Linked DNA regions of Coturnix japonica. Each later gene encodes a partner of the first gene's protein in a complex. Links are inferred from orthologs where the notes say so. Each region holds a gene or a part of one and is shown in the gene's direction. Other genes may lie near its edges.

Region 1 (10,791 bases):
AGTGCTTCAAGAGCTCTTCACTCCAAATTCCATTCTGGATCAAGTCTGAGACGTGTCACTTGGCTTAAATGGAAACAAACACCAAACAAGAGGTCAGATGCTTCAAATATTACAGAATAACAGTTAGAAAGTTCTATCACAAAGTTTAAAACCTTATTTAATAGAATACTGAAACAATTGGGTTTATTACAGAAATAAAACAATGTGCAGAACATGTTATAATTGAAGGTGTTCAAGTCTTTGGTTTTTCTTGCCCGAACTTGACAGGTTTTACTCATTATCAGATTAATTAAATCCCTCCGTATCACTACCCTTTTACTATTCATCACATAAAACACAAAACAAAACCTTATCATCCCCAATTCCAGAGGAATTTCAGGAAATCCTGTGAAGTTTTATGTCAATTTGAAACCTAGCAGAAACTGCTCCACTCACACACAGCAGCCTGGAGTTGGCACTGCTGCTGCCATCGTTATCACTTACACTGCGACCAGCAGAGCACGGGCCATGACAGGCTTTTTTAGCACTGGCAGAAGTTACTACAGCAGCTGCACAGCTAATTACACCAGTCACTATGCCCCATGAATCACATTCCTCTTCAAGTCCCCTGCCCAAGAACTGTCCTCACTTTCATCTTCACTACTTAAACTGTCAGACTCAAAAGCTCTCACATCCACTGGAGCAAGTTTTGCACAGCACTCTCTTTCTACCGTGGGTGCTTCTTATTTTAACTATAAGAAAGAAATACGCTATGTTAGTCTGGAATATTTCTGCTAAATTAAAACTTAATCATTCTGTAAAGCATAAAAACTGCAAGTACGTTTCCTTTTTCTTCCCAATGAATAGAGTCAAACTTGTCAAACACTCCTGAAGTTTTCATAGAGCCCCAGCAGAACAGCAAAGCTCCTTTAGCTCCAATTGCACCCACAGCCTCAGTGTGCAGGCCCCATCAATACCAGCATCGTGGTCTTCATGCTTCAGGCTACCCAGACAGCTGTTGTAAAAATACAGAACAAAAACTGCTCCTCCTTCAGTTCACATGCACTTCCTTTACCCTTCCAAATAATTCTGAAAGTCTATTTAACATTTTTAGTTTACATAATCGACCCGATTCCTGAGATTTTACAAGAGTTTTGAAGTCGGTCACACACAGCACAGCTTTTAAAAGGAAGGACAACAGCCAAACAATAACTGAATACTTATTAACAAAGTAGGTAGAAAGTGGAACTGCTGTTCTCCACAATTAACAGTTGAACCCTGCACAGGGATCTCTCTCAAAGCAAAGCTAAGCATCAAAGCCATGAACAAACCACTCATCTGTAACAATATCAGCCCACCTTGGTAACAAAACGTTCAATGCTTCAGAAAATAAATAAAGAATAGCTTGGTCACCTGTCAAATGCCAAAGGATACACTTAAATCCTCTTAAACACTGTCACAAGGAAAAGGACGATGTGCGGTACATCTGCTGCTAAATACACCTCCAAAACTCAGCTAAGTCCTCTCTTACAAGCACAGCAATAACAACCAGTTTGTGCAAGAAGAAAAAAACCCACATATTTGGCAACCAGAAACTGGGGACAAACGGCTGCACAAAGTGGTTTTAAAAACTAGTGTCAGAGTTACGGAAGGTGGCAGGCTGATGGGTAAATGCTGACCAGGCTATCGCTGCCAACAGCAAAAATGTGACTCCTGGTTTCTTTCCTCGTTTTGCTAATCATTATGAATTTCCAGGTATGCCAGATACCGTGCAAATAAAAGCAGACAATGCTCTATGCTGAATGCCTGGGGAACAAAACAAGTCATGAGACATGCCAGTACTCATCTCTTCTCAGCTGGGCACCTTGAAACAACTGCTTAGCATTAAATACAACTTTAAATTACCTATTAATAGTTTTTCTATCTTACTTGAAACAATGTTAAAAAACAGAAAGTTTTGACACAAACATGCAGCACTTGCAAATGTAAATGCAGAAATCATTCATGTGCCAAAGGGGTTGAACAATCACAGAAGTCAGCACTGAGAGATACTTTGTTTTAATGTCATTCTCCTTTGAGTTAGGCAAGCCAGAATAAAAATAAGGGAAATAATAGGAGGCAAAAACCCTTCTGGGTTTAGGCTTCACTCTGCTTGCACCTCACTAAGGACTACTAAGAGATGTAAATAACTGAACAAGTAACAAGGCACAAAATCAACACCCAAGCCTCTTACAATGACAGTTAGCTTTGATGCTTCTTCAACAAACACCTTGAGGTTTTCATTTACTTTTCCTACCTACAGCACCCCCATGCTAAGGGTCTCAAGATATAAATCTGTTGTCAGAACACGTAGCTTGTTTTCCAATGCTCATCTTTGGCCTTTTCCCCCCAGAATTCCTCGATACCAGTGATCAATATTGTTCTCACTTCCTGCTCACGACCAGCCTTCCAGATACACTGGAGGGGTGGAGAAGTGAGAGCAGGAAGAGGGACAATTCACAAACAGAATTTTCTCTTTCCAGTTTCTGTATTTACACACACAGAAACGACTGAGGAAGATGTTACACAAAACATGAAGGACTGCATTGTATAGATGCGGCGGGGACAAGCCAGAGACCAGGAGATCTACAAAGGAGTATTATAAGACAGAAAACAATTGGCAGCTCATTTCAGCAAATGCTCAACTACCCACTAAGTTTACAGACATGGGAAATGCTCCTGCACGCTCTTAAAGTATTGCTGCTTTTCATATAAAACTTATGGTAAAGTAAAGCTGTAGCAATTCACATTAAAAAAAAAGGTGGGAAGAGATTTACATAGCAAAATAAAAATTGGGCACGAAATCACCTAACTGCCGTTACACTAAATAGCTTTGCAATGTTAGATCGGAAAATACCTAAAAGAGAATCATAAAGAAGCTTGTAAAAACATAACTCAATAAAGCTTCAGCATCTTCCACAGTGAGTGCCTTTAGCAATTCCAGTTTGGGCCAAAGATCCTGACACATGATGAGCTTCTACGTGCAAACCTGTACTCAGAATTTGTTGGTCACATAATTAACAACAGATGACTTTCAGTACTGAAGGAACTGGATAAATATGTGAACCACATCCAAAACCAAACATTAACTGCAGTGATTACTTACAACATCAACTTCTTTGTACTCGAACATTAAAAAACAGGACGTACAGATAAAAACAGAGTATCTTCATCTTCCAACAGGAGACTGACCACAGGTCCTCACGACCACTTCTCATCACAGTGAGCTGAGCTCAGACCATCACTGCTGCTCCATTCTGTTAAGGACTCTGACAAGACAGGACTCCGTAGGTTTGTCAGTGCACAGCATTTCCAGTCAGTGACACCTACAACAGGTAGAGGAACCGTTTCCATCATTGAAATGCACAATAAAAATCCCCCAATTAAGACTTAGCATTCCTGCACCAAGAGCTAACAGATTTTTCCTCTACTGCAAAAGCAGCAAACCTGAATCTTTATATCAGTATCTAAGCTAATTTTTCTTATGTTCTAAATGTTAACAGTCAAACCATTGAGCAAGTACTGTTTAAGCTGTACCCTACAGTTACTCAAAATGCACATACTATTGTGAGAGGACACTTCAATATCTGACCCCCAGAATATTTCCATTCATTTTTAGTTCTCCCAACGACTTTCAAGTCCTCTAAAATCATTACAACATGCAGCATATCACACAGCATATGCTCACATGGGGCAGAAGCAATATTTAAACTCCTTTGGTTTTGAACTTTGAATTAATTCATCCCCATCCTGGAGAAAAGCAGTTCATAATTTTAAAGAACACATTCTTAAGAAAGCAAGAAAACCCTCTAGATTTCCAGAAACTTATTTTTTTCCCCATGGTGATGGCTGATACCTACTGTTACAATCAGAAAGGTCAGCATGGAGGACCAGCAATACAGGAGTGAAACAGCAAAGGGATCAGAGCAGACAGAATGGATTCACACAGAGAAAGGAAAGTGCTCACCAAGATCTAGGCTCGCAGGAAAGACTCCACAAGAGAGGAATCTCCTACCAGAGATCCTTCTCCTGTGGCAGTCAGTCCTTAAATGAGGTCTAACAGAGGTGCAGCCAGGCTCCACCCCTTCTTGTCTCACAGCTGAACTGCCTTTGCTTGTGCTCCCAGGGCTGACCAGTCCTTTCCCCAGGGGATCAATCAATGGGACAGGCTGGGACTTACTGGTTACCATACACGTACAGATGCTCTACTTTTCCAAAGATCTTCACCTGTGCCGTTGAACCACATTCCAGACTGAGACATCCTTGGTGAAACTTCAGCCTAGTTCAACCTAGGGGCCACCTTCGTTCACACCTGTAAAGGAGAATTTAAAACAGAGGTAAAATAAAATTCACCTTGAGCCAGAAGTTAGAAAACTTTGCCAAGTTTACATCCTAAAACACTGCTTTAGCACAATGAAACCAGTGTTATCGAATAGTAAATAAAACAACTCATCCAATGGCTCTAACAGCTACACTACAGAGAGACTCATATTGTAAAACCATAGAAAAGGCTGAGTTGAAAAGGCCACAATGCTCATCCCATTCCAACCCCCTGATGTGTGCAGGGTCAGCAACCCCCAGACCAGGCTGCCCAGAGCCACATCCAGCCTGGCCTTGAATGCCTGCAGGGATGGGGCATCCACAGCTCTTTGCTCAGCCTGTGCCAGCCTGACCTCAGCGCCCTCTGAGAGCGTTTCTTCCCAACAACTAACTTAAGCCTCCCCTCTTTAAGTGTAAAGCCATTTCCCCTTATCCTATCGCTATCACACTGTTTAAATAGTTACATCCCCTCCTGCTTATAAGCTCCCTTCAAGTACTTGAGGGCTGCAATAAAATCACCCCACAGCCTTCATCACCAAAACCTGCTGCAAATAAAAAGAGCTGTAGAATTAAGGTTATTAGTTTATTTACCTTACACTGGATCCAGTTCCATCTCTCTGCCAGCTCTCACTCCCACTGAGCTGCCCATTGCACCTCGTCCAGATGATGTGGGTAAGATACACACCCTATAAATGAGAATATCACAGTAGAGGGTGAGAATTGCCGCCTATTAACAAACATAAACGTCTCAAGCTGCTCTCCCAGCCTCCACGCTGCACAGGGAAGCTCACTAAGGGTGCTCACCTCTGCATGCTGCACCGCAACAACAGGCCAGACCTGGTGCAAACATCGAGCCCTGCCAGGACGTTTTTAGCACCTCGTTTCAGCAGCTCGCCTGGCCAAAGATACAAGAGAACACACAGCTCTTATTGGCAAGGCAAGGCCGCACGGAGCCGGGCTTCAGGTGACACCCATTCACCACAACCAGAGCAACCGCCGGGCCTTCCCATCACCGCCACCTCTCCCGGACCCCCCTCACATCCCACCCCACACGGATCCCCCATGCTGCTCCAATGCTGCCCCATTCCCCCCCAACATGGCGCCCCTCCCCCTCCGGCCCCGCCCCTCCCCTCGCTCTTCCCGCCCATTCCCCCCCCCCTCCGTCGGCCCGCTCTTCCATTCCCCTCAGCCTCCCCTCAGCCGCCCCGTTCCGCACCTTTCCCTCCCTCCTGGCTGCTCGCCCCTTCCCCGGGCGGCTCCGGCTGGAAGCTCCGCTCCCCGCCCCTCGGCGCCTCCCCCAGGATCCGGCAGAGCGGCGGGGGGGAGAGCGGTGAGAGGGGGAGCACGGCGCGCCCCAGCCCCACCGCGGAGCCGCGCCGCTCCTTCCCCATCAGCCACCAGCACGGAATGATCCTCCGCTCCCAGCCGGGCTGTCCCCCTGGCCGGCTGTGCCGCTTCCCTATTGGCTCTCACAGCGCCTCGCTCTTTCCTATTGGTTACAGCCTCGCGGAGAGGCGAGGCGATTGGCTGGTTGAGCCGTCAGTCAATCCGGAGCCCCCACCTCCGCAGTTATCAGGTTAGTGTTCGCCGCGGCGCTGGGGCTCGGGATTCCGAGCGGCGCTGGTTGAGCCCTCAAAGTCCCTCATTACTGAGGGGGGGTCTGCGGCGGTGTCACCACACGGAGCGGAGCCGGGGACAGCGAGAAGAGCCTCCAGCACAGAGCCGAGACCATGGACATGAAGAAAAGGATCCACTTAGAGCTGCGGAACAGGACGCCCTCAGATGTAAGCAAAAAAAAAAAAAAAAAAAAAAAAAAAAAAAAAAAAAAGGCAGCTCATCTTTTTTTTTTTTTAAATTATTATTTTATTTATTTATTTATTTTAAAGGGGGAGGTGGGGTGTGTGTGTGGGGGGTCGACGCCTTTAAAGCTGTATACCCGAGCAGAGGGCCGCGGGCCGGGCGCTGCCTCCTCCTGCGTGGGGCTGTGGGGGGGGATGGAGGGGGGTCGGTTCTCACCTCACGCCTCGTACCCGGGGGGCGACCCCAGAGCGGGGCCGGAGCGGGGAGCGGCCGAGTTGTGGCGCCGGGGGGGTCCGGAGCGCGGCGGGTGTGTGCGCGGCGGGCGGGAGCGGAGGCTGGGGAGCCATATTTGTAACTTTGTGGTGCTCATGAACGCGCCCTTTCTCTCTCCTCCTCTCTCCCTCCCGATGCTGAGGGAGGGGGGGGGGAAAGGGGAAAAGGGTCGGTGGGAGCGTGGCCATGGGGGAGCGGGGGATTGAGAAAGGGAGCGAGGAGAAAAACAACGAGAGCGAGGAAGGGAATGCGCTCCGCACCTCTCCATCCCCGCACGCACAGAAGGGCCGGCTGCGTGTGTGTGTCTGTGTGTGTGTGTGCGTGTTTTCCTCTTTTTTTCGGCTTATTTTTAACCCTTATCCCCGCAGCTCGGGGCAGCGCTTCAGCCTCTTCCCCGAGCGAAGCGGCCGAGAAACTTTGTCAGGACGAAAATAGTCGGAGCCCGGGGGGTGCCCCGAGGCGGGCGGGCCCCCACCCCGAGCCCCGCTCCCAGGGTGGTGGTGGCGGCGGGTTTCGAACCCGCGGCCCCGAGCGAAGCCGCCCCCGGGGGCTGAGGGCGGCGGTGGGGTCCGCGCTGAGAGCGGAGGGGGGAGAGCGCGGCTGAATGGAACGTACCTCTAGGGGAGGAGGGCGGAGGCGGATGGATGGATGGATGGATGGATGGATGGATGGATGGATGGATGGATGGATGGAAGCTGCTCTTTAAACTTTAAAAAGTCCTGTGCCGGGAGGAGGAGGAGGGCACTCGGCGCTGCCGTCCCGCGGGGCTCATTGTCCCCCTGTGCGGGGGCACAAAGCGGGCTCGGAGCCGAACCGCTCCCCGCGCCGCTCCCGGGGCCGTCTCCAGGCGCGGGCAGCGCAAGTAGGACGCGGCGCCATGTTTTTTTCCCCTCCCGAGCTCTGAGGGAGGAGGAGGAGGAGAAGGAGGAGGAGGCGGTTTGTCCCTCCCCGCCGCTCCGCGCTCCCCTCCGCGCCGGGCGGGGGTTCCCCTCCTCGAGGGGCCGCTTCGGAGCCCTTAACGCTGCTCGGTGGCGGTGGGTGTGTGTGTGTATGGGGGGTCTGGGCTCGCCATAGCGGATCGCGGCCATCCCCTCCCCTCAGGGGGCGCGGCGGGGGCGGCCGGGGCTCGGAGGGGGCTCCTCCATGACGGACCGCCGCCGTCTGCCATTTTGTCGCCGCTGTCGCCGGGCGGGAGGAGGTTCCTGGCGGCGAGACGCGGCGGCGGGACGAGCGGAGGGTAAAGCGCGGCCTGCTCCTCTCCCACCCCCCTTCCCCTCCGCCGTTCCCCTTTGGATCGGCTCTTTGCCCCCTGGTCCCTGTGGGGCAGCGTTGGGGAGGGCGGGGGATGGGCTCTGAGCAGGGCCCGGCTTTGTTGTTGTTACTGTTATTAGCGTTATCCTGGAAGTATTTTTTATCTTTGTTTTGTGGGGTTTTTTCGCGTTTATTTGATGTAGTTTTTGTCTCTCGTGCTGCTGGACAGTGAGATAAAGCATTTCATGTGGACTCAGCCTCCATCCCAAGTGTGCTGGGTGCAGGCTGGGCTCTCCCCGTCATTCATATCTGCTTCAGCTTCTGCTCTGACTTAGAGGGAGTTCCCAGAGCCCCCATTGAGCGGTGGGTCACTGCTCTGGGAGTCCCGATCTGTTGCTGTTTCACTGCTCTGAGAAGCCCCACTTTGGTGCTGCTTCCTTCCATAGACAACCCCATCTCACTGCTGTATTGCTGCCCCTCGGCAGTTCAGAAACCCACCCTGCTGTAAAATAATGCTTGTTTGACCCGCCGTGTCTGTTTTATTTTAACCTCTTAACCTTTAATTCTGTCACTGTGTTCCACTTCCCAAGGTAACAAATGGGCTCGTAATCCGTTCTGTAGGTAAACAGTTGCGCCTGCATACAAAGGGGAGCTGCCCTTTGGGAGTGCTGCTCTGTTTACAGTCATTCCTGCACAACCATTGATGACAGATGCTTCCACCTGCTCTCGTGTTGTGGGGAGCTGAGGGTGCAGTTTGAACTCTGTTGCTTTAAAGTAGCTGTTAGAAGCAAATGCAGCTCAATCCAGCCAGTGCTCCAGCGTTTGAAGCTGAGTTTTAGTGTAAATATAATGCCAGGTATCATTGATTCGTGGATGTGGGGCATGAATAAGATGGTTCTGGGCACTGTGTTAATCTCTGCCCTCATAGGCAGCCGGTGTTTCTTGTATTTTCAAAGCTTTAAATGTAATGCAGATAAATCTTGCTGAAAACAAGGGCACAAATGGGAGTGTATTCGCTTCTTGGGGCTGCTATTGTATATGTGCTTAAGTCTGCAGTGCCTCTCACGTTCGATCTGTTCTCAGAGCTTGCAGAATCAAAACTTTCTGTAAATCAAGCTTTGATAAGGGAATGTTGATAAGGTGTTTAAGCTCAGAAAGCCCCTATTACCATCTTATGCTATGGGCTAATACAGCTGTGTCAGATACTATGTAATACTGTACAGCTACTCAGTTACATAACCCTGCAAGGTTACATGTTAGCCAATAAAAATGTAATATAAATGTCTCAAAGAGGATTGTATTGTAGCTATTTCCTTCTCAGGCTCCGCTGCTGTTTTATATGAGGTCGATGCTGGTGAGCAGCCTGGGGTTGCAGTGCCTGAAATTCGGTGGGTTTTGTGTGTGTTGGTGAGGAATCTATTTGTGGTGCCTGGAATTGGTTTTTCCTTGTTGTATGGCCCGAGTTGAGCTCTGCCATCTGCCTTGTAGGTATTGCCGCTTATTGTAACCCATTATGTTCAATGTTCTCTTACGGCAGTGCACGTGCTGTGGCCTTTGATGCTTTGCTGATCTTATCGCTATCATCTTCTATTATACTGCATTAAAGTGCCTACTAGAAATTGGTGTCTAGATGAGGAGCTATGAGATATGGGTTAGTGGCTTTTGCTGGCAACAGTAATGGGAGGACAGTTGGACTGGATGATCTTGTAGGTCCTTTCCAACCTTGTGATCCTATGACTCTGTGGTGAGATCCAACTGTTTTATATGGGTTTTCTCCAGGCCCGTAGTGATGTAACTACTGACCACAGGGGGCTGGGTGTGTTTGTGGGTGTTGCTGCTCATTTCTATTGTCTGTAACCCAGCTCATGTGCAATGATGTCAGTGTGAAGGGGGACTTCTCAGCCATGGGGCACAGAGGCAGCGTATGGAAGTTATGCACCAAACTCATCTCTGATGGCTTAGTGCCTCCATACCGGTTCACTTAGTCTGAGGATTTAGTGCTGCTTTTGAGAGGAGCTTTATCAGCTCAGATTTATGACAGTGATAAAGCTCTGCCTGCAACATTGGGTATCTCTTATGGTTTTTCTGACTTTCTCTTTCACTTTAAAACTTGTTTGGATTGTGATTTCCCTCTAGTTTACTGTAGGTTTTAACATTGAAGGGTGTAAGCATCTATGTGGAGTGTTCTCTCGTATGAAGAATCTAAATAACAGAGCTCTTTTCTCTAGTTATTTGGTGTGATGCTCACAATAACAGTAGAGACTTTAAAGTGATACATGTTGCTTCAAAGACCTGCATCTGAAAAAGTTTGGGTACAACCACCTGATGGTCTATAAACCCGATGGGAAGTGTTTGCCTTCGCATCACTGTGTGTGATTTGTGTTCTCTATGGGGGCACTTGTTTGTCCATTGACTTGGTCTGTTGAACACTTCCCCTCTAAAGCCATAAAAACGCTAAGGAAAAGCTTATCTTCTCTAAGTGTGATTTGCTAATGCGTTCTGTAGCAGCTGACATCTTTAGTGACTGCTTTCTGTATCAACTAAGCAGCTCTTGAAATTAGTATTAATTTAAATAGAGCACTTTTTGATGTATATCAGTCATTTGTTGCTGAGGGCAGTTTGATGCAGCTGAACAAAGTGAAGAGGTTCAGCTCAATACTTAGAACTTCCTAACTGCGGAGTTTTCAGGTTGTGATGTGATCTACCTTTTGGTTCTGCTTTATTTCATTGTAGCTGGCAGTAACTGAAGAGCACCTTGGATGTGCTGTCAGGCATGTGGCTCTCGTACAAGGAAGCTGGAACATGGAGCTGATATGCCCCCCATGAAGTCACCTGCCCCAGCCAGGAGCAGAAAGTGACATCAATGTGAAAGCATTTATTACAAAAACTGAGTAATTTAATCACTTACAGGTTTGAAACAGTCACCGTCTACATAAATATTTGGAGTCTAAATTAGAGTTTTGCTGCTAATGATAGAAATGAAAACTAGCTCTGTGCTTTTGAATGAAGCAGCTTTCTGTGTCCCCAATGTGTGTTCTCAGTTTATTAATTCATGTGGTGCTTATGCATACGGCTACATTGACCTTATAAGTGTGTGAAAGTATCTTTATGTGACCCGTGGGGTTTCAT
Region 2 (10,455 bases), on another chromosome or scaffold:
CTCACTTTGATCAGCATAGTTTTTTGCTTTTAGTTCAAGCTGTCGAGTTTGTGATTCTAATGCTTCCACTCTGGTCTGCAAGTCCTTTTTCTCTTGTTCTTGAGAATCCTCAAACTCAATGAATTTCTAGACAGAAGAATACACTGACATTAGATCTAATTAAGTAAAAACATTACAAGCCTAAACAAAGTTCTTAGGTCATACAGAAGCAACAGATACAGCCATTCTTAGATTTGTTTTTAAGTAGAAAGGCTTGTTCTTCAAGCAGCACGCAGGAAAATATATGGAGCTTTTGACTGCAAAGAAGGGTAACAAGCAGGTTTCCAAAACAACAGATCTACAGCCCACACTTAACCATGAGGGACACCATTATACTCCACTTTGGCACCCGTTGGTCAAGCATCCTGCCCAACTCGCTTTGCATCACCACTACCAAGGATCAGCTATCTCAGAGGTGTTACCTGGGACCAACAGGAACGTGAATGGTTTCATTCCATCCCACCTCCACGTGCTGCCTGCCAACCCCACACACAAACACAGATCTCAGCACCCTCTGATTTAAATGAGCATCAGCCGAACACACCTTCACCAGGAAACCACAGGAACACCCCCAGCAGCAGCCAGGGGCTCACATAGCTACTTATGGATCCTCTCCAGCAGTGCCCATCACATTCTCTGCTACTTTGGTTTAACAAAGTATCCCTCATGAAGTCCTGGAGTTTGCAACAGTCACGGTTCCATCAGTTACAGGGTAACAGCTTATTGGGACAGTGGCAATTGGTTTAACCAGGTGCCATTTCATGGTCCCAACAAGGAAAAGCAAAGCGTGGAAGCAGAATTACATGAACCCCTTACAAACCAGCTTTTCATTGCATGTGATTTGAAGGTATTTCCAAGGCTTTAACCAACACGGGGATCATAGCTTTTCACGTTATGAAAGAGCTCAGCTTGGTGGGGTCATCAGAAGGAAGGAGCTGTGATTAAAAAGCACCTCACATGTAGAAACGCATCAACATCTTGTGGAACAAGAGCTCCTTTCAGGCAAGCTCTGCACAGCTATCACAGGACCACGAATGGCATTTCATATGACTGTGCCTGAAGCAACAGCCATGAACCAACTGAGCAGCAGCTGACACCAGCCAAGTACAGCTGCTCTGGGTTCTGCAGCTCAAAAATGAGTCCTTCCCTGCTCCAGAAAGACAGATTTGAGACAGTCTTTGTACGTCACACCCTCCACGATGCTGAGGATCATTAGTCTGACAGCGTATGACCGAAAATCTCTAACCCCCAACCTGTTCAATCTCTCCTTTGTAGGTGACACAATGGTTTTGCCCCTTCCACATTGAAAATTCAAGTCAAGTCCAGCTTATTCATTCTTAGCAGACTCCCTTTTATAAAGGGGCTTCAAAGTTTGACACAAATTTGGCACCGGGGCTAAATGCCAACACAGACTGCTAAATTAAACATGGGAAACATGAAAGAAGAACTGTAACATGAAACTGTAACATCTTTGTCTAGCTGCTTCTCTGATGTAAGTCAGATGCGTCCCGTACCTTGGGGAAGGCCGATGACAATTATACTTTGGACCAGACAGCCGTTCAAAGCCTTCAGAATCACTGTTACTAATAAAACTCTTCATTTTGCTCATGTCCTTCAATTGCATGCATTAAAAATGGTTTTGTTTAAAAGTGAAATGATTTGGGGTAATTTTCCCACTGATTTTGCCTTTATTTTGTTAAAGTTAGAATTGAGGTTGTAACTCCTCTGACTGGAGCTGAGTCAGTTTCCCCCCTTTGCTTTGCTGTGTGCTACTCCACACCAAACCAAGGCCTGAGTCCTTCAGACTGAGCGCTTACAGCTCCCAAGAGAAGTGAGTTTTCTGGCTTTTTTTTCCTGCAAAGAACAAGCTGAAGGACACCAATGTGCCTTTAAACACTCATGCCAATGACAGAAGACACTGAAACCAAAGGGTTCAACCTGCCCTTCGAAGACCACCTTGTTCAAGGCTCTTGGTCTGCGATGATTAATGCCTGTCTGCATCCTAATTTTGACATATGAGTTATAAGCACAGGATCCAGTCCACACCTCCTTCTGCTTTTGCCTTCTGCTGAAATCCAAACCTCAGATCCCTCCATAAGCTATGTTTAGTAACTCCCTTCCACTCCTCCCCGTTTTCTCCAGGCAGAGTCAACTTTGTCACTTCAGACAGACATTTGTCTGACCTGCTTAAAGACCCCGGGTACAAAGCAATAAGATTCACAAATCCCCATATAGATTTATCACTATATTGAGCTTACTGCAATAATTCTTGCAATAGACACGGATGTGAATCACGGAACAGCGCAGCATACACATACAGTTTGAACAACCACCCAAGCAAACAATCATTTGGTGACTCGGTAACACACTGTCAGCAAAATTAAACATTTCTTCCTACATTAGTTTTATCGCCTCCTCCCTGACACGCTGGCATGTTTTCCTGTCACATGATCCAGGTGCAGCACTCAGAGTATCTGATTTGAGGGTGTATCTGATTTGAGGGTGCCGCCCACTTGGCTGCCTTCATCACCCTGTGACACAGACTTGAGTAACTTCCATTGCGATGATGCAGCCAAAGGCAGCTGCATCAGGGTACACACATAAGGTCAGCTACAGAACCAGCTCAGCTAGACACGGTGCAGATACAAATACAGGTGGATTGAAGTTGAAGCTGTTTAACTGCCCGTGTTTCCAAGTCCAAGTGAAACTCCTGCTATCCACACACAACCACAGCAGCATACACGTTCTTCTTCCTGCAGGAGTAAGATCACAGAACACTGAATCTCTTTTCCCCTCCAACTTCTTTGTTGCAGGGCTCACTGCCTCACTACTGGGTAGGAAAGTTAAGCTGCACGCTGCTGTGAGCAGAACAAACCAGTAGGAAGTTCCTCTATTTCTCCAGCTCCGCCACAAAAAGCACCATGTTAAAAGCCAGGCAAATTAGAGCAATTAGGAAGATCACAATCAGTATCAAAGGGAACTGAAAAGATCTGGTACTTCTGAATTCTTCCTTATCTGAAAGTCCCTAACAAAAGTCCACAGACAACAGCTTTCAGAACATTTCTTAAAAACTCAGTTCAGGAACAAAGAGGCAAATTAGGACATCAGTACATTCATGCTTCTACTCAAACAACACACCATTAACACTCACCAAGACAACGCTGCAAGTAAGAACTCAAATAAGAACTACAACGTCAAGGAGAAAGTAAAAGAAGGCTCCTGAGTTCCTCAGGACAGCCCAGACAGAGCGTGGGACACCCAACTACATCACTCACAAGTGTCCATTTTGCTATCAGGTGACACAAGGAACCTTCACAATGAAGGGAAACAAACAACATGAAGCCAATAACGGGCTGTGTCCAAGAAAACAGTGCTATATTGACATTCTCTCCTTTTTTTTGACATTCTCTCCTCCAGACCAAAGTCCACAAAGCAGTTAAAGCTGCTGTTGGACAGGGACAAGGAATGGTTTGTTGGTCCAGGAGGCTGGGACACCTGACAGCACATTTGTAGGGCAATGCTTTTCACTCAGATCCATAACAGATACACACACGTGTGCAGGGCAAACAAAGCTCTACAAATTCAGCTCTCTTCAACAACACCACCTTCATCTTCAGTGCTATTTTATTAATTTTGGGAAAATTTAGAAGGCAAACAACCCAGAGCCAAACAGGGGACACGAAGTCTGGAAATAGACTCATAAGATGGTTTGTTCTATTACAGGTAATGCTGTCAATCCAATTTCCTACAGGAGTTGAGAGGGGCAAAGAGCTGAGAGCAGCCACCCTGCACAGCTGCTTTCTGTTGGATTGCTTTACACTCCAGCAGGAAAAAAAAAAAACAACACCAAAAAGCCTTAAGTCAGCGATGAGAGCATTATTAGGTGTTTTCACCCCATTTTTGTGTCAATATCTGCTTGACAAGGAGCACTCCGCACCACCTGTTGCTGCCCGCAGCTCTGATCACAGAATCACAGAACTATCAAGGTTGGAAAAGACCTAGAAGATCTAGTCCAACCATTCCCAATACTTCCAGGCTAAATCATATTCCTCAGCACCACATCCAAGCGTTTCTCGAACACTCCCATGGTCAGTGACTCCACCACCTCCCTGGGCAGTGCATTCCAATGCCTGACTACCCTTACCGAAAAGTAATACTTCCTAATGTCCAGCCTGAATCTCCCCTGACGCAGCTTAAAACCATTCCCTCTAGTTCTATCACTGATTACACGAGAGAAGAGGCCGAGCCCCAGCTCACTACAACCCCCCTTCAGGAAGTTATAGAGAGCCATAAGGTCTCCAGGCTGAACAATCCCAGCTCCCTCAGCCTCTCATAAGTCCAGTTCTCCAGACCCCTCACCAGCTTTGTACCCCTCCTCTGAACGTTTTACAGCGCACCCACAACGGGTGGGCAGCGCATCCAGCTCCTGGCTCCCCGCCCGCCCCGCAGCGCTGCATCCAACGGCGGGTAACGGCGGGGGGGGCGGATAGAACCATCCTCAAGGCCTCGCCCCGGTTCCCCCCGCAGCCCCGGGAGGAGCATCGAGGAAACGCGGAGCCGCCCTGGCCCCCCCGTCCGCACTCACCTCCTCGGCCTGTTTGCGCAGCGCCTTCTCCCGCTCGTACTGTGTGAGCAGCTGCTCGTTGTCGTCCCGCAGCAGCTCCAGCTCCACGCTGGTTTCCTGGCTGTGCGCACACACCGAGTCCAGGTTCTCCAGCACCGCCACCACTAACGGCATCAGCTCCGCCACCACCTCCTCGTCGTAGCGACCGATCAACCGCTCGAACTCGCGGTAGATGGAACCGGCCAACCCCGACACCCGCTCCGACATCATGGCGGGGCCGGGGCCGCCGGGATCCTCCTGGTACACCACGCCGTCAGCCAGCTCCATGGCGGCAGCCGGGCCGGGGGGGCGGCGGGGCCTCGGCTGCGGCCGGACCGACGGGGGGACGGAACGGGCGGGGGGCGGAGAGCGGCGCGCGGTAATGACGTCACCGCAGCGACGGGACGGCGGGGCTAGAGTCACGTGGAGGGGGCGTGGCCTGGGAGTGACGTCACGAGGGGGCGGGGCTTATTGTGTGGGTGATGGCGGTCACGTGAGCAGGGCTGGGTTGCAAGATGGCGGCGGGGTGGGGGCTGTACAGCCCTGATCTGTTATACTGCTGTTGTGTGCTATGGGCTGTGTGTGTGCTATGGGCTGTGTGCTATAAGCTATGGGCTGTGTGCTATGGGCTGCAAGCAGAAGTGGGTCAAGGTGTCTGACAGCCCCTCAGGGCCCTCTAAGCACACGCTATTTTTACCTTATTTCTATTAGAATTGACAGCCGTGGTTCTATTTCGAGCAGCTGCATTGAGCCCGGCCCGAGTCAGTGCAGGGAGGAGCGGCTGGTTGTGCTGCTTTTATTTCTGGCCACCTGGATGTTTTCAAGCACAGATAAATGAAGTGTTTAGGAATAAAATCCATCTGGGACAGGTCTCAGGTGCTGTAAGATGCACCTTGTTGGCAAATCTTATTTCTGGTCATGTTTTATCACAGCGTGAGATCAGGATCTCGGGGTTGTATTAAAACAGCACCAGGTCCGGAGCTGTATCACAGCGCTCTGCCATGATAACAGACATGAATTATCGGTACCGGCTGCGGACGGACCCGATGCGCCGAGCGCCCCCTGCTGGCGGGAGGCCGCATTACAGCCATGACGCGGAGCGGCCCCGGGGGCGGCCGGGGTTTAAGCCGAGCCGGGCGGCAGCGACAGCGGCAGAACCGAGCGGGGCTGCGGGACCGAGCGGGGTCTGAGCGGGGTCCGGCCGTGTTGGAGTGTGAACCTGTGTGTGCTCAGCCCCGGACAGCAGCCAGGAGCATGGCTGCCATCACTGAGCGAACCTTCATCGCCATCAAACCCGACGGCGTCCAGCGGCGGCTGGTGGGGGAGATCATCAGGCGCTTCGAGCGGAAGGGCTTCAAGCTGGTGGCCATGAAGCTCACACACGTAAGCTGCCCTTCCCTCGTGTTCTTAATAGAAATATCAAGCTGATAACAGAGCGGGAGGTGATAACAGAGTGCTCCGAAGGGTTAAACCTGGAATTCCTTTGGGTGCTCTGGAGAAGTTCCAGTCGCCAGCTCTGGCTAAATGCTTTAGACACGCTAAGCACGCTAATTTTAGTAACTTGATGTCCTTAGTGAGGAGAACGCTCCTGTAGGAGCATCCTGTGCCCAGCTGGTATCTGGATATATTCAGCAATTACCAGGTCACACAGGTTACCTGCTGGGCAACAGACGCCTTTAGAAGCTCAGCTGTAGTTCAGGCCAACCACTGAAACCCGCATTTACTGCATCCAATGTAGGAGCTTCCTACAAGTGCCAGCTTTCCAAGCATGGCCTTGCAGCCAGGTGATCTCAGCTCACTTTGCTGTAAACTTTCTGTCCTTGTGGGGTTTTTGATTATTATTATTATTTTTTTTCCATTCAGGCCTCTGAGGACCTTCTACGGGAGCACTACATCGACCTCAAGGAGCGCCCGTTCTACGCCGGCCTGGTGCAGTACATGCACTCGGGGCCTGTTGTAGCTATGGTGAGTCCTGCAGATGAGGTTTAGCTGTAGAGAAACATGGTGCTGACTTGCCTCACTAAGAGCCTTGTGTTACCTGTTGGATGCCAGCTCACCTATAAGAGATTTTAGAAACTTAGGTTTAAATAATGTGGTTGAGACAGTATGTTGAAGAAGAGGGCAGGGGGAACTGAGAACCGAAGCTGAGAGCTAGAGAGATAGGAAAGCTGCATGAAGAACCCACTATGGAACAGCATAGGAGCTGTTAGGGTGCTGGTTTGTGCTGCCATGGGTGTCATTCTGGGACACATTATTAACTCTTCCTGCTCTGTCTACAGATCAGATTTTAGAATCTCAAAGCATCTTTCTTTTCCCCTGAGGTGTGGGAGGGTCTTAATGTGATTAAGACTGGAAGAGTGATGCTGGGGGAAACTAATCCCATGGACTCCAAACCCGGCACTATTCGTGGTGACCTCTGTGTGCAGGTTGGCAGGTATGTTTTCCAATTATCGATATCTGCAGACAGTGCAGGGCGGTGCTGTCATGGCACAGAGCTGTGCTGCAGGCTGCCCTGCCTGGGGCCGTTCCTAGAGCTGGATGAAGAGCTGTAGGTCCTCACCGTGAATGCAGTGCTGTGCTTGGAGGTTGGAGATTGTATCACTGTAATGTCCATCTTTTCCCAGGAACATCATCCATGGCAGCGATTCCTTAGAAAGCGCCGAGGCTGAGATCAACCTGTGGTTCACTCCTGAAGAACTGGTTGACTACAGGAGCTGCGCTCACGAATGGATCTACGAGTAGAACTGAGGCTCTGCCTTCGGTATCGTGTCCTGCAGTGAGCTCCGCTCCATAGCATCACCTCCTGCAAAGCCGCTTCAGCACCGCTGTGAATAGCGATCGGTGCTTCCTGTCGCTTTGCTTAGAAAGCTGCAAAGCTGGAGATAGGAAATGTGCGTTTAGGGCCGTGTCAGGCGTTCGTGTGGTGGTAGAGGTGAAATTAAATGGCAGAGAAGCAAAATGTCCCTCGTTAATAACACACACCGTCCAGCCGTAGCACGCTCGGCTTCCAGGGTTAAGTACCAAACCCGATGAACCCAAAGCAGCTACGAGCAAAGAAACCTCGATGTCTGTTTCCAAACCGTGCGATGCCCGGACGCGGAGCTCAATCCATCACTGAGCGGCCCGTCCCGGAGCTCCGCTGTTCATCCCGCATCCTCCCCGCAGCGCTCATTGCTCACAGCCGGATCCGCACCGCCCATCCATCACAGCGCAGCGCCGCTGCACCCCCTCCGTGCCCCTCCCTCCCGCAGGGCGGTGTTCCGGCTCTCGGCCGCCTCCTCCTTCTCTTTCTTTCTGCTGCGGAGCTCACGGCGGTGGCTGCGGAGCTGCGGGAGGTGCCGAGTCGGGTCGGGGCTGATCGGGTCGGCGGGAGGGATCCGAGCGGGGCAGGCTGCACGGTGCGGATATCGGCCCGGGGGGGACGGGACGGGACGGGAGCGGAGCGGGGCAGTGCGGGGCGGGCGCCACGTGGGCCGTGCGGAGCAATGGCGGAGGGGCCGCGGGCCGACCTTGAGCTGGAGGGGGGGGGGGGCTCGGGTTGAGGCCGTGTGCTCGTGTTCCGCAGCGCCATGGCTGCCAACTGCGAGCGAACCTTCATCGCCATCAAACCCGACGGCGTCCAGCGGGGGTTGGTGGGAGAGATCATCAAACGCTTCGAGCAGAAGGGATTCAAACTGGTGGCCATGAAGTTCGTGCACGTAAGTCCAGGCCGGAGCTGCCGGCTGTGCCCGGCTCTTTCTTTCCGCTGTCGCCGCGGTCCGTGCGATTCACACCGCCAGGAGAGCGCCGGGTCCGCAGCGCTGAGCTGCAGCGCGGGGAGACAGAGGGGGAACACGGGGCAGCAGCTGCTGCGGTGCTGGGAGCAGCACAGTAACACGGGGATAAATGATACAGCAGTGACACCTCTGTGGTGCGGGGTGGGGGCTGACATTTTCCATTTGTCCTCCCAAAGGCCTCTGAAGAGCTCCTGAAGCAGCATTACATCGACCTGAAGGATCGGCCCTTCTACCCCGGCTTGGTGAAGTACATGAACTCCGGCCCCGTGGTGGCCATGGTACGCAGCCTGCTCTTCCATGTGCAGAGCCATAAGATGTGTGCTTCAAACACGTGCTGCAGTGCTCGTTGTGTTCAATAGAGCCCCTCAAAACTTACTTTCTGCACACACACACCAAAAAACCCCTTACAGCTTGGGGGTAAAAACTGAGAGGAGCTGGGGGGGGTTGGTTTAGTGGTGAAGCCCTCACTAGGGCTCAGCTGTTGTGCAGTGTTCGATGCAGGCAGGGACTGATGGTGCTTTGCTGTTTTTTCTCCCATTCAGGTGTGGGAAGGGCTGAATGTGGTTAAGACTGGCAGAGTGATGCTGGGGGAAACCAACCCTGCGGACTCAAAGCCCGGCACCATCCGTGGGGATTTCTGCATCCAAGTGGGAAGGTCAGTGCTCAGCTGCTTCTCTATGGGGATCACACTTAGCAGGGGCAGGATTTTCTTCAGGGAAGACAAATTGCTGGTGGCTTAACCTGCTTTGATGGGGTTTCATTTGCAGGTTGCAGCCCATAATGGCTACATGGGACAGTGGCTGGGTACAAAACTTCTTAAAACTCAGCTACGTGGCAGAGCTCCATGTAAGATCAGGCAGTGGCTGCTGCAGTAGAATAGCCCTGAGCCCCCACCCTGTTGGGTGTAGTGAGCAGAGCTTATAGTGGGGCTGTGCAGGTGCTGTACCTGAGATGGGGGCTGTCGCTTTAGGTGCTTCATCCTCACTTCTTCCACGTGGCATTTCCACCCTTAGAGGTTTCTTTCTTGATACTGAACAATGTTGCACTGCTCCACAGAAACATCATCCACGGCAGCGACTCTGTAGAAAGCGCCCAGAAGGAGATCAACCTGTGGTTCAAAGCGGCAGAGCTCATCGACTACAAACCCTGTGCACATGACTGGATCTACGAGTGATGTTTCCACAACAAACTGTGCCTTGTGGAGGTGTCACCTCACTGCAGCTGACGGTCTGGGAGCAATCAGTGCAGCGCTGCTCATGGCAGGTTTTCAGAGCAGTCAAATAAATGGATGATACAAACCAACTGCTTACGGTGCTTTCATTGTAGGGCAGAGCAGTGAGCTGCCCCAGCTGGGTGAATGTGAATGGGGAGGGAGAGGATGCTGCATCTCCTCACATAGAGCTGCACTGAAGGGAAAACCTGATGCTTCCCCATGATAATTTCTAGCCCTATGCACAGTTGTAAAATAAAGCCAGGTGCAAAACCTGCCTCTCCTGGGCTGCAGCTCCATTGTGTGCCCAGCAGCAGCTCCACAAGGAAACAACATCCAAGAACTGACTTGTAACGTTTTTATTTTGTGTAAAAAAGGCAAATTTAGTGAATTATTTCCATCTTGTACACAAAGTTATAATTTTAATGCTTTTCACATCCATGCTGAAAATCTGCGGTCTCATAAAAATGAAAGGAACGTTTCGTTTCCCCAAAAGCATTTTTTTTTTTCCACGTATGTACATTGTGTGAGAAAGCCTTCAACTCCCTCATTGACCACACGAGTTACCAAGAAAATAAAAGATAAATTTGTACAGATATTGATTTATATATCAAATACATACAGAAATGATGTAAAAACCCCATTTGTTTCACCTCCAATCCTGCCCCGGCGCCTCCCCGGGGCCGGAGCTGACAGCTGTGTGTATAAATGGCTGCGGCTTTGTTTTAAATAGCAAAATTAAAAGGAAGAAAAAATTCAGTTTAAATCACAGTTTTTTTTTTTTAAAAATCCCTTCCCAATAAAGGATTGTTACCAAATATATTAGC

Evidence for each region. Proteins that work in one complex are often made in the same cells at the same time.
Region 2: ANP32A (region 1) and nucleoside diphosphate kinase A-like share a complex: the UniProt entries of both Homo sapiens proteins name them as parts of the SET complex. The link is inferred for Coturnix japonica from reciprocal best matches to the Homo sapiens genes ANP32A and NME1.

What each region holds. Positions count from the first base shown.
Region 1 is NC_029525.1:17,470,954-17,481,744, reverse strand, and holds the start of ANP32A (acidic leucine-rich nuclear phosphoprotein 32 family member A), read left to right. Parts: upstream 1-5,881; 5' UTR 5,882-6,068; coding exon 6,069-6,122; intron 6,123-10,791. UniProt on the Homo sapiens protein: Multifunctional protein that is involved in the regulation of many processes including tumor suppression, apoptosis, cell cycle progression or transcription. Promotes apoptosis by favouring the activation of caspase-9/CASP9 and allowing apoptosome formation.
Region 2 is NC_029533.1:8,738,955-8,749,409, reverse strand, and holds nucleoside diphosphate kinase A-like, read left to right. Parts: upstream 1-5,272; 5' UTR 5,273-5,731; coding exon 5,732-6,025; intron 6,026-6,505; coding exon 6,506-6,607; intron 6,608-6,963; coding exon 6,964-7,076; intron 7,077-7,266; coding exon 7,267-7,384; 3' UTR 7,385-7,619; downstream 7,620-10,455. Other genes in the region: SPAG9 (C-Jun-amino-terminal kinase-interacting protein 4), read right to left, coding at 6-126, 4,625-4,930; nucleoside diphosphate kinase, read left to right, coding at 8,212-8,340, 8,595-8,696, 8,961-9,073, 9,186-9,264, 9,389-9,592. UniProt on the Homo sapiens protein: Major role in the synthesis of nucleoside triphosphates other than ATP. The ATP gamma phosphate is transferred to the NDP beta phosphate via a ping-pong mechanism, using a phosphorylated active-site intermediate.